Callithrix jacchus: one gene and its partners. The protein of the gene in region 1 interacts with the protein of each later gene in a biochemical or structural test. Links are inferred from orthologs where the notes say so. Each region holds a gene or a part of one and is shown in the gene's direction. Other genes may lie near its edges.

Region 1 (3,642 bases):
GGTGTGGGAGGGACAGTGGACCTGCTGCAGGGCCAGGACCTGGGGCTCAGGGAGCAGAGCAGAGGGCACATCCCCAACCCTCACGGCCCCTCCCACCCATGGCAGGACATCTTGCCGTGCGTGCCCTTCAGCATGGCCAAGAGTGTGAAGTCTTTGTACCTGGGCCGCATGTTCAGCGGGACCCCCGTGATCCGACTGCGCTACAGGAGGCTGCAGCCCACCAGGTGAGGAGCGTCCACAGAAGGCAGCGCAGCTGAGACATAACGGCCGGGATGCCAGCTTCATAGGGCCTAGGCAGGAGCTAGGTCAGCAGGGAGGGGCCAGCGTCTGCCCGCGCCCAGCGCTGACCTGTTTCTTCCATGGGCGCCCAGGCTCGTAGCTGAGTTTGACTTCCGGACCTTTGACCCCGAGGGCGTTCTCCTCTTTGCCGGTGGCCACCAGGATGGCACCTGGATCATGCTGGCCCTCCGAGCTGGCCGGCTGGAGCTGCAGCTGCGTTACAATGGTGTGGGCCGAATCACCAGCAGCGGCCCGGTCATCAACCATGGCACGTGGCAGACGGTGAGTGTGAGGCAGCCGCCCTTCCCGACCCCTGGGGCCCCTGGCACGCACTCACTTGTGCACCCATTACAAGATGGGCTCTGGGGCCTGACCGGCTGCATGCGGCAGGACAGGGACCCCTGCCCCGTTTAGCTCATGCTTGGGGGGCTCTGCTATTTCACCCCTGCCCCGTTTAGTTCACACCCGAGGGCTCACTGTGGAGCTCGGGGTCTCTGCTGTTTCACCCCCATCCTGTTTAGTTCATGCTCTGGGGCTCACTGGAACTTGGGGCCCTCTCTGCTATTTCATCACATATCTGAGCCTGGCTCCCTCAGAAATGGACCTTAAGTGCAACCTGTGAGTTTGGTCTCCCTGAGTTCAGGTCACTCTTGGCTCAGGTGAAGAACCTGTGGTTCTCAGCCCTGGGGGCCCCTGGGCTGTGTCTGGAGGCCATGCTGTTTATCCTGAGTTGGGGTGGGGAACAGGCCAGGGCTGCTGATACTACATTCAGGGGCCTCGCCAGGGAGGAAGCCGCCCAGAACCTGCACCCCAGGCCCGGGCTCCTGCTGCATGCGGCCCCCTGGCCGTGGCCACCTCTCCATGTAGGGCCACGTGGACGCCACTGCCTCTGAGCTCTGGCTCCCGGGGCCTGCCGGTCTGTGCGGCCATTCCCATCAGGGGTCCAGGCAACCTCATGGGGGCTGCCCCTTGCCAGAGACGTCATGACCACCTGGACCCCAGACCCATGGGCAACTGAGGGGTCCCCATCAGACCTGTCCTTGGGCAGCTGTGGGCAGCAGACAACATGCCTGCACCACAGCCCCCTCCGTGGAGTGAGAGGGTCTGTAGCCAGCTCCTGGCTGGGCCCCTCACCACACTGGGCTTTCAGAAAGGTGGAAAAGCAGGCTGTGTCCTTCAGAATGAAGACGAAGTGGAAAACTTCACCCTGGCCCTTGCAGATGAAAACTGTAGACTTTTGCCCATGTTTCCATTCTGCAAAGTAAATGCCTACTCCATTTCACCTCTTTTTTTTTTTTTTTTTTGAGACCGAGTTTCGCTTTTGTTACCCAGGCTGGAGTGCAATGGCGCAGTCTCGGCTCACCGCAACCTCCGCCTCCTGGGTTCAGGCAATTCTCCTGCCTCAGCCTCCTGAGTAGCTGGGATTACAGGCACGCGCCACCGTGCCCAGCTAATTTTTTGTAATTTTTAGTAGAGACGGGGTTTCACCATGTTGATCAGGATGGTCTCGATCTGTTGACCTCGTGATCCACCCGCCTCGGCCTCCCAAAGTGCTGGGATTACAGGCTTGAGCCACCGCGCCCGGCCCATTTCACCTCTTAAAGGAGCAGCGTCTCCAAGAGCAGGAGGTTGTTCTTAGCAAAGCTATAGAAAGCAAACTAAGGGGAAGCAGTTTCAGGGATGGAGCTGTGGGGATGAGGGTCCAGGGCAGGTGGCCCGAGGCAAGGTCGCTGGGGGACTGTAGTGCGACCCAGTCCTGCCCCGTGACTCACAGCGGCCGCTGCATCGCACCGAAACAGGCCCTTCCTAGCAGGGGCACCTGGTGAGGACCCCTCCCCAATTCCACCCTCTGGCTGGTCCCCAAAGGCAGCTGACTCAAACTTCTACCATGTTTTTGTGACTCAGTTGAAACCCAAATACCTGAAAGGTGTTTTCACACAGGAAGAAGGATGTTCTTCTGAAGCTTGGGAATAGGGTGTATCTAGTGTTCGACGCTACAGGCTTTCTATGAGGAATCAATTTGGTGCATTGAGAAACCTCCTGGCCCAGGCAGTGATGAACAGGGACTCCCTTGATGTTGAGTGGCTCTTGGCTCAGGTGGGGATGAGTGTGGTCTCCCTGAGGTCAGGACCCTCTTAGCTCAGGTGAGGATGAGCGTGGTCTCCCTGAGATCGGGACCCTCTTGACTCAGGTGAGGATGAGCATGATCTCCCTTAGGTTGTGTCCTTGGTCTCAGGTGTTCCAGCAGAGGTCGGGTCCCTCTTGACCTCCGATATGATGAGCCTGGTCTCCTTGAGGTCTGTCCTTGTTGGCTCAGGTGAGAATCAGGTGGTCTCCCTGAGGTCGGGACCCTCCTGGCTCAGGTGAGGATCAGGTGGTCTCCCTGAGGTTGGGACCCTCTTGGCTCAGGGGAAGATAAGTATGGTTTTTCTGCAGTTGGGGCCCCCTCAGAACATGCACTCCCACCTTCTCTCACGGCGCTGCCTCTCTTCAGATCTCTGTTGAGGAGCTGGCTCGGAGTCTGGTCATCAAGGTCAACAGGGATGCTGTCATGAAAATCGCGGTGGCCGGGGACCTGTTCCAGCCGGAGCGAGGAATGTTCCATCTGAACCTCACCGTGGGGGGGATCCCCTTCCATGAGGAGGACCTGGTGCAGCCTGTGAGTGCAGTCCTGTCCCTGGGTAGGGGCACCCTGTGCTGGGAGCCGGGTGGCTGTCAGGAAGGCTGGGTCAGCTCAGCCCTGCCCTGTGTTTACCACTGGCCAGGTGTGGGGAGGACCTAGAAGAAGGAAAGGTTTTGAGAGTTTGACCAAGTCAAGGTATGGCCATGTGGTTAATTTTACCATCTTTTTATGAGGCCTGACTAAGTTTCCATCTGACTTGATAATAAAGTTGTCTATTTTTCAGTGGAGACAAGACACAAAGAAATTATTCTTTAACAGAACAATAAACTTTTTTGGATGATTTCCAAGGACATTTTGGGTTTTGTAACCCTGATGTGAGTCTCACAGGGGAAAAGTAGCCGTGGTGGGGCGGGCAGTGAGGGCCATCTCTCCAGGCCCCGCCTTCCCTCCCCCAGCACAGCACATGCCGGGCCCCGATCTGCATCTCCAGCCCCCGTGCGCTGACGTCTAGGCCAGTATCCTGGGTATTTTCACTCCCACACCAGATAGGAGAAAGGCTCGCACATCTTTGCGTCTGTGGGTGCTGCATGTCCGAAGTGCCTGTGCTGAGACCCACCGCTTCGGTGGTGTGAGGGGCACCCTGCTTTCCAGACCCATGGTGCTCTCGTTTCACAGATAAAGGGTTGCCCTGATTTGCCCACAGCCATATTGAATAATTCACATGAGCGCTGGATGGTTAA
Region 2 (3,642 bases), on another chromosome or scaffold:
GGTTGCAGTAAGCTGAGATCATACCAGTACACTCCAGCCTGGGCTACAGAGCAAGGCTCTGTCTCAAAAAAAAAAGAAAGAATGAAAGAAAGAAAGAAAGAAAAAGAAATTTTTTTGTGTGTGTGTTTTATTTGAGATGTGGGGTCTTGCTCAGTCACCCAGACTGGGGTGTAGTTGTGTGAGCTCAGCTCACTGCAACCTCCACCTCCAGGCCCAAGTGATCCTCCAATCTCAGCCTGTTGAGTAGCTGGGACTACAGGTGTATGCCACCACGCACAGTTAATTTTTGTAATTTTTTGTAGAGACAGGGATTCGCCATATTGCCCAGGCTGGTCTTGAACTCCTGGACTCCAGTGGTCCACCGGCCTCAGCCTCCCAAAATGCTGGGATTACAGGTGTAAGCCACTGTGTCTGGCAAAACAATATTTTAATTTTTATTTTTTTCAGAGTCTTGTTCTGTCACCCAGGCTAGACTGCAGTGGCATGATCTTGGCTCACTGCAAACTTCATCTCCTAGGTTCAAGCGATTCTCCTGCCACTGCCTCCCAAGTAGCTGGGAGTACAGGTGTACACCACCACGCCTGGCTAATTTTTGTATTTTTAGTAGAGATGGAGTTTCACCATGTTAGCCAGGCTGGTCTTGAACTTCTGAGTTCATGATCCACCTGCCTCGGCCTCCCAAAGTGCTGGGATTACAGGTGTGAGCCACTGTGCCTGGCAAAAGAAACATTTTTAACAACTGGTACAAGCAGGGCTCTGACCCATCAGGGAGCCCACTGGAGCAAGAGTGTGACCAGGCTTTAACCCTTTAGTTCCCTCTGAGGGAAGGCTCAGGGGGTCCAGAGGAGGAGCTAGGGTGGAAGTGGCAGGGTGCTCAGGGCAGTAGCTAATTTTGAATCGATGCGGCAGTATGTCAGTGTTTCAACAATGGGTCTATCCCTACTGGTGGGTGAATGTCACCTGAATGTCAGCCCTGCCCCATGGCTTTGTCCACCCCAAACTTGCATGCAGTGAACAGCCTGGGCATCAGTGAAGAGCTGAAGGAGAAGCTGCGGGATGTGATGGTGGATCGGCACAAGGTGGCCCTGGGGAAGACTCTGGGAGAAGGTGAGTCCCCCCAGCAGCATAAACACATCCTTCTGAACTTCTGAGATCCTGCACTTCCACGCCCCCACCCAACTCTAGGAAAAACAGTCCCCCCAGGCCCTCTGAGGTCAGTGTCTCTCTCTGGCCCTTCACAGGAGAGTTTGGAGCCGTGATGGAAGGCCAGCTCAACCAGGACGACTCCGTCCTCAAGGTGGCTGTGAAGACGATGAAGAGTGAGTCATGTGCACATGTGTGGGGCCCCCTGCCCCTTCCCTATGCCCCTGAGAAGGAAGAAAGCAGAAAAGGTAACAGCAAGTTAGCCATTGCCTAGAATTTTTGAGTGGGGAATTCAAGACCAGCCTGGCCAACATGGTAAAACCCCATCTCTACTAAAAATACAAATATTAGCCAGGCGTGATGGTGCATGCCTGTAATCCCAGCCACTCAGGAGACTGAGGCACGAGAACCTCTTGAATCGGGGAGGCGGAGGTTGCAGAGAGCTGAGATTGTGCCATTGCACTCCAGCCTGGAGGACAAGTGCAAAACTCCATCTCAAAAAAAAAAAAAAAATGATATGGATGGTGGTGTGTGCCTGTGGTCCCAGCTACTCAGGAACCCAAGCCTAGGAGTTTGAGCCTGCAGTGAGCTGTGATCGCTCTGATTGCATCCAGCCTGGGTGATGGAGCAAGACCCTGTCTCAAAAAAAGCAACCAATAAAATAAAATGGGAACCGTAACAGTAGCACCTAAGAAGATTAAATGAGTTAATATACGTAAAGTACTGAGTTTGGCACCTAGTACTTACTAATCATGTTTGATGAAGATGAGTGATGACGATGGTGATGGAGAGGAGGTGGAGGGAGGAACTCCTCCCCTCCTCAACCACCTTTCTCTCTCCCTCTAGTTGCTATCTGCACGAGGTCAGAGCTGGAGGATTTCCTGAGTGAAGCCGTCTGTATGAAGGAATTCGACCATCCCAACGTCATGAGGCTCATCGGTGAGGGGGGGCAGATTCAAGGGTCTACAGGCCCCATGGGGGCCATAGCAGAGGGAAGACTCCTTCCTCTGGCCCTGGGAAGATCAGACTCCATGCTTCCTGCTCCCGGCGCCTTCAGGGTCAGCAAACTCGCCCCTCCTACTTTCCCTCAGCTTGGAATGTGACCTCTGACCATTCCCAGAAATAGCTGAGGTCCCCAGGAGGGCTCTGGAAACATCCCTGGGAACTCTGTTGGAAATGGCGTCTCTGCAGCTCGGTCCTTGCTGCCCCCATTACTCTCTAAACAATATGGCAGCCAGATTGGATGGGAGTGAGGAGAGGCTGAAGTCTGGCTGGGAGGGGGCTTGGCTTCACCTTCTGCCCAGCAGGAGTAACAGGGCTGCCTGGGGTGGGGCTCAGGCGTCTGTTTCCAGGGTTCTGAACGAGAGAGCTTTCCGGCACCTGTGGTCATCTTACCTTTCATGAAACATGGAGACCTACACAGTTTCCTCCTCTATTCCCGGCTTGGGGACCAGCCAGTGGTGAGGGGCATTTAATATCCAGTCTATAAATATTAACTGAGCATCAGTCAGGTACCCAGTGCTGCTCAGACCCTGGGAAGACCATGGTGACCAGGAGCCTGCTCTCCTGCAGCGTGTCTTCCAGCAGGTCAGGTGAACAGCAAACAAGCTAATAAATACCTAAGCAAGATGACTTAAATGCTAGGAAGGAAATACAGTAGGGTGGATGAGGAGGCCAGGCAGTCAGTTTGGGTGGATGTCTAAGATCTTGCCGCGGAGGTGACCTTGAAGGACTTGGGGCTGGGGAGATGTCTGGCCATCTGGGCAGGAAGCAATCCCAATAAAATGCACAACATAGGCAAAGGCTCGGAGGTGGGAACAATGGTGGTTTATCTGAAGACCAGACGGGAGTCTGGTGGGAGCGTCTGTCAAGGGCAAGAATATAGGCGATCAAGTCAAACAGGAAGGCTGGAGCAAGTTTATAGGACCTTTCAGGCCATGGGACGGGGTTGGGTGGAATTGTCAGAGCCACGGGAAACCACTGCAGGCAGAGATAGGCATGCCCAGAGGGACAGAGGGGGGAGGGATCAGCGTCAAGGACCCTACTGACCTCTATTGACCCTCCTCCCACCTGCCTTCCCCCTCAGTACCTGCCCACTCAGATGCTGGTGAAGTTCATGGCAGACATCGCCAGTGGCATGGAGTATCTGAGTACCAAGAGATTCATACACCGGGACCTGGCGGCCAGGAATTGCATGTGAGTGCCTTTCAGGGACACCCCCGATGCTCCCACACTCCCTGAGGGAGCTCCCTCCCTCATTCTTAGAATGGAAGTGGGGCTAGACACCCGCTGAAGGCAGGCCAGAACTTAGGACCAGGAAAGTCAGTAAGGGGATCTGGGAAGGCTTCCTGGAGGAGGTGGGTCCTGAACTGAGGTCTGGGAGGAGTATTCGGGTGCAGAGAGAGAAGAGACAAGAAGGTGGGCTCAGTGCACAGTATGAGGTGAGCAAAGAGGCCAAGGTGACTGATGGGGATGGGGACCTGTGAGCCTCATCTCTGT
Region 3 (4,251 bases), on another chromosome or scaffold:
GCTACTCCGGAGGCTGAGGCAGGAGAATAGCTTAAACCCGGGATGGGGAGGTTGCAGTGAGCTGAGATCCGGCCACTACACTCCAACCTGGTGACAGAGAGAGACTCCGTTTCAAAAAAGAAAAAAAAAAGGAAAAGAAAAGACAGAGACATCTGGCCCCTGCCATCCATGTCTTGATAGTGCCTCCTGAGTCTCTCCTCTTGCTGCCGCTTGGGGGCGCCCCCAGCTGGGTCTCAGGCTGCTGCCAGCCTTGCGGTTGTTATCATTAGCGTAATTAACAAACAAGCACTGCTGGGGCCAAGTGGAAGAAGAGGCAGGCCCCTGCTGCTCAGGAGAATCCCTGAAAAGATCCAGTGAGCCTGCGGCAACCGGGACTAAGTGGCTGGTCCCTCCTCTCCACCCAGGACATCTGGAGGGGGTGTGGAGTGGGTTCTAGGGGGCAGGCAGAGAGGGAAGGGCAAGGGGAGGAGCACACTTGGTAGGCTTGGTTTGGAACCGGATTTGCAGGTGCCCAACAGGATGTCTGTGGGCAAGGCCACCCCCATGATTACTGGTTGTGGGGCAGGCTCTGAGGCAATTATTCATTCATTTAACAGGCATCTGCCTATTTATTTATGGAGTGCCTACGATGCGCAAGGTGGTCTACTCATAATAGCTAATGTTTAATTGAACAATGTGACGACACAGCCAACTTTCACAGCAGGTCCTGGGAAAAGGGGTAGAAGCAAGGGAAGCAACTAGGAAAAATGACAGCCCAAAAAGATAAGGGCAATTGGGCTTTGGCCTGTGCAGTGTAGCGGTGGAGATATGTATTAGGTAAAACCTGGGGATTACCAAGATCTTGGGAAACTCAAGATCCAAGTTGGAAAACATACGGCAAGTGGGGCTGGAGAAAATGGGCATTTTCAGGTAGGAGGGACTTGGAGATAAAGGCAGGGCAATAGAACATGAATATGGGAATTTTGGGTGAACGGCTCAATGAAAGTGAGGGACGAAGGGATGCTAGCAGATTCTGTTGGAGGAGCCCTGGGTCACGGCAGTTTCAGGGGGCCTGATAGATGGGAGTCTAGGGGGTGCTGGATTCTGGGATCACAGTCCGAACAAAAGTTGGGGTGTGGTGGGGGCTACCATCGGGGTTTTGAGGGAAGGCTCGGGAGCGCTAGGATGGAAAAGATGCTGGAGCGCTTTTAGGGAAAGGAGGGGCGTGGCCGGGGAGCCCCATCCTGGGGGCCGAGCCGGATCCTCGGGTTCGGCCTGGGGGCTGCCGGGGCCGGGGTGTCGGCGGGGCTGCGGGGGTCCGCGGCGCTGGCCGGGGTCCGGGCTCGGAGCGAGCCTCCGGGGCTCCGCGGGGGGGCGGTGCGAGCTCGGGCTGCGGGCGGGCTGGGAGGAGGCGGCGGCTCCGAGAAGAACATGAATCAGCGGCGGCGACGGCGGCGACGGCAGTGGAAGGATCGCGGTGGCCCGGGAGCGGCCCCGGGGACCCAGCGCTGCTGACGGCGGCGATCGCGGCGGGGGGCGGACGCGAGTCTCGGAGGCGCTCTCCCCAGCGCCGCCCCACGGGCGGCCCCAGCCCCTCCCGCAGCCCTCCTCTCTCCTGCTCCCTTCCCACCTCCTCCTCCTCCTCTCCGTCCTCCTCCTCCTCGCTCGCGGACCCGGCCCGGCATGGTGCGGCGTCGTCGCCGATGGCGCTGAGGCGGAGCATGGGGCGGCCGGGGCTCCCTCTGCTGCCGCCGCCGCCGCCACCGCGGCTGGGGCTGCTGCTGACGGCTCTGGCTTCTCTGCTGCTCCCGGAGTCCGCAGCCGCAGGTAGGGGCTGGCCCGAGAGGCGGGGGAAGCGGGGGGCTGCGGAGGGGCGCGGTCGGGGATCGAAGCTTGGGGTGGGCCTGGCGGGCGGGAGTCGGGGTGGGGGTCCGGAGCCGAAGGCCAAGGCTCGGGGCCGGGTCAGGGCACGCTGCGGAGTGCTCGCCGCCGGATCTCCCTGCGGGCCCCCCACCCCCAACTTTCTGGCACTCTGGGCTCTCGCGACGGGGTGGAAGGGAAGGGAGCGGGGTGTGGGCTGTGTGGTCAGCCGGGAGTGTTTGGGACTGCATTTTCCCGCCTGGATGTTCCCAGCTGTTAGATCCCTCCTTCCCAGTTCTGGGGACCCCATTCTGCCTGCCCTGCACGCGAAGGTCCGGCTCTGAAACCACATGGGCCGGGGCTGAGCACCCAAAGGCCACCCTGGTAACATTTAGGAACAGGGGCTGTGAGAGTGCCCAGTCACAAAAAGCAAATGGGCACACTCGAGTTCCTGTGCCTTCTGAGCTTCCTGAAAGCAGAACCTTGGAGAGGATGGGCTGGGGCCAGGTTGCTGGTCTTTGGGAGGGGTTAGCCTTGTGTTCCCACTGAGGCATTTGCTGGTGACAAGGGCGTTCCATGCAGCACGGTGCTCTCCAAGTTCCCACCCCGCACCTCGGTGACTGCTGGGCTTATAGAGAGCGGGAGGCCGGACCTCCTGTCCTGTGACTGGTCCTGAGAGGGTGAAGGGAGCAGGGAAAAGCCACAGGCCCGGACAGCAGCCACCCGGCTGGCATCTTCTCTTGAGACAGCGTTCCCTGCCATATCAGCCTCTCAGGGAAGGGAAGGGAAACGGGTGACGAGTATTTACAAGCAGAAAGGTGTGGACCTGATGCTCAGGGAGCCCACGACTTTGCCTAGAGTCGCACAGCAAAGGACAGGAAGAAGCAGGGCTGGATTTTAGTTATGCAGATATTTGACCTGCCCCTCTCTCTGCTTAAAAACACGCCAGGAAGCCAAGAGAGGTGCCAGTGTGTGTGTGTGTGTGTGTGTGTGTGCCCGCGCGGGCATGCGCGCGCACGTTCCAAAGAGTGGCCCCTGTTGGTGTGGCAGTGGCTCAGGGGTCTTAGGCTCCCTGCTCATAGCCCCAGCCCTCCCTTCTTCCTCCTACCTTCCTAGCACCCGCCCCTGCCCACATTCAGGTATTAATAGAGCGGATGGCTGCCAGGAAGGCTGCCATGTGTTTGATCTGACGTGGTTTTGCAGCCATATGTTCTCCACTTCAGGGGAGCACCCCCTCCTTCCCTTCGTCAGCCCTGCTCCATTTGGTAAGGTTGGGTGCAGAGGGTGCTGGCAGCAATACAGGGTCTGGGCTGACACCTTGGGTGGAGAGCTGGCAGCCTGTTGCACTAGTTGGGTACAGCAACCATTCTTAGGGTGATACCTGCCCCAGTAGGGTAACTCCCCGCCATTTCAGCCCAGCCTGCCTTCCTTTTGCTGTCTGATCTCAGCAGGAGGATATGGGGAAGAGGTCCTTAGAACTGGAGGGAACTTGGAGAGCTTGTCATGCCCCTTCCCCTAGTCCAGGTCCAGCCACCTTCCCTCCCACACTGCCCTACCTCTGCTTCCTTGACTTTGGCTAAGAAAGAGCCCTCTGCCTGACACAGAAGCTATGTTCTGGAAGAGAATGGGAACTGTTTACAGAGACAGAGTTCCTCTCAAGGTGACACATGTTCCTTCCACTCCTCAGGTCTGAAGCTCATGGGAGCCCCAGTGAAGCTGACAGTGTCTCAGGGGCAGCCGGTGAAGCTCAACTGCAGCGTGGAGGGGATGGAGGAGCCTGATATCCAGTGGGTGAAGGATGGGGCTGTGGTCCAGCACTTGGACCAGTTGTACATCCCCGTCAGTGAGCAGCACTGGATCGGCTTCCTCAGGTGCAGGCCTGTGGGGGAAGGTGTGGGCTGCCAGCCAGGGGGCAGGCTGTGCTCTTTCCTTGGGGATTGGGAGCTGGGGACCTCACTTGACGCTTAGAGGTTTGTGGTTTTTTTTATGTGGCTACCTGTGGGACTTTCCAGAAGTGGGGGCAGGCTGAACCCATCAAGTTTGCCTGGCAGAGCTGCCCCCTTGACCCTGAGAAGCAAGCCTGGTATCCTGTTTCCACAGCCTGAAGTCAGTGGAGCGCTCTGATGCTGGCCGTTACTGGTGCCAGGTGGAGGATGGGGGCGAAACCGAGATCTCCCAGCCAGTGTGGCTCACAGTAGAAGGTGAGGAGGCAGAACCATCTGGGCACGTTGGCCTGGAGCACGTGCTGTCTGCTGGTGACCATACCTCTGCAGCAGAGAACTCTGTGGAAGCTGGGTTCCCCCACCGCTCTGTGGGGCCTGATTGTCCAGGCTCTAGGCCCACTCCAGACATCAGAAGACCCTACCAATTGGAGTTGGGTATTTGAGAACCAAGGGGGCAACTGGGATCCAC

Evidence for each region.
Region 2: the proteins of GAS6 (region 1) and AXL form a complex in vitro, tested with the Homo sapiens proteins (2 studies listed by BioGRID and IntAct, with this or other methods). The link is inferred for Callithrix jacchus from reciprocal best matches to the Homo sapiens genes GAS6 and AXL.
Region 3: the proteins of GAS6 (region 1) and TYRO3 form a complex in vitro, tested with the Homo sapiens proteins (2 studies listed by BioGRID). The link is inferred for Callithrix jacchus from reciprocal best matches to the Homo sapiens genes GAS6 and TYRO3.

Annotation. Positions count from the first base shown.
Region 1 is NC_133502.1:29,244,204-29,247,845, reverse strand, and holds part of GAS6 (growth arrest-specific protein 6), read left to right. Parts: intron 1-105; coding exon 106-224; intron 225-371; coding exon 372-561; intron 562-2,773; coding exon 2,774-2,938; intron 2,939-3,642. UniProt on the Homo sapiens protein: Ligand for tyrosine-protein kinase receptors AXL, TYRO3 and MER whose signaling is implicated in cell growth and survival, cell adhesion and cell migration.
Region 2 is NC_133523.1:36,534,576-36,538,217, forward strand, and holds part of AXL (tyrosine-protein kinase receptor UFO), read left to right. Parts: intron 1-1,011; coding exon 1,012-1,107; intron 1,108-1,241; coding exon 1,242-1,319; intron 1,320-1,989; coding exon 1,990-2,082; intron 2,083-2,481; coding exon 2,482-2,603; intron 2,604-3,229; coding exon 3,230-3,339; intron 3,340-3,642. UniProt on the Homo sapiens protein: Receptor tyrosine kinase that transduces signals from the extracellular matrix into the cytoplasm by binding growth factor GAS6 and which is thus regulating many physiological processes including cell survival, cell proliferation, migration and differentiation.
Region 3 is NC_133509.1:45,047,725-45,051,975, reverse strand, and holds the start of TYRO3 (tyrosine-protein kinase receptor TYRO3), read left to right. Parts: upstream 1-1,441; 5' UTR 1,442-1,682; coding exon 1,683-1,806; intron 1,807-3,526; coding exon 3,527-3,710; intron 3,711-3,939; coding exon 3,940-4,040; intron 4,041-4,251. UniProt on the Homo sapiens protein: Receptor tyrosine kinase that transduces signals from the extracellular matrix into the cytoplasm by binding to several ligands including TULP1 or GAS6. Regulates many physiological processes including cell survival, migration and differentiation.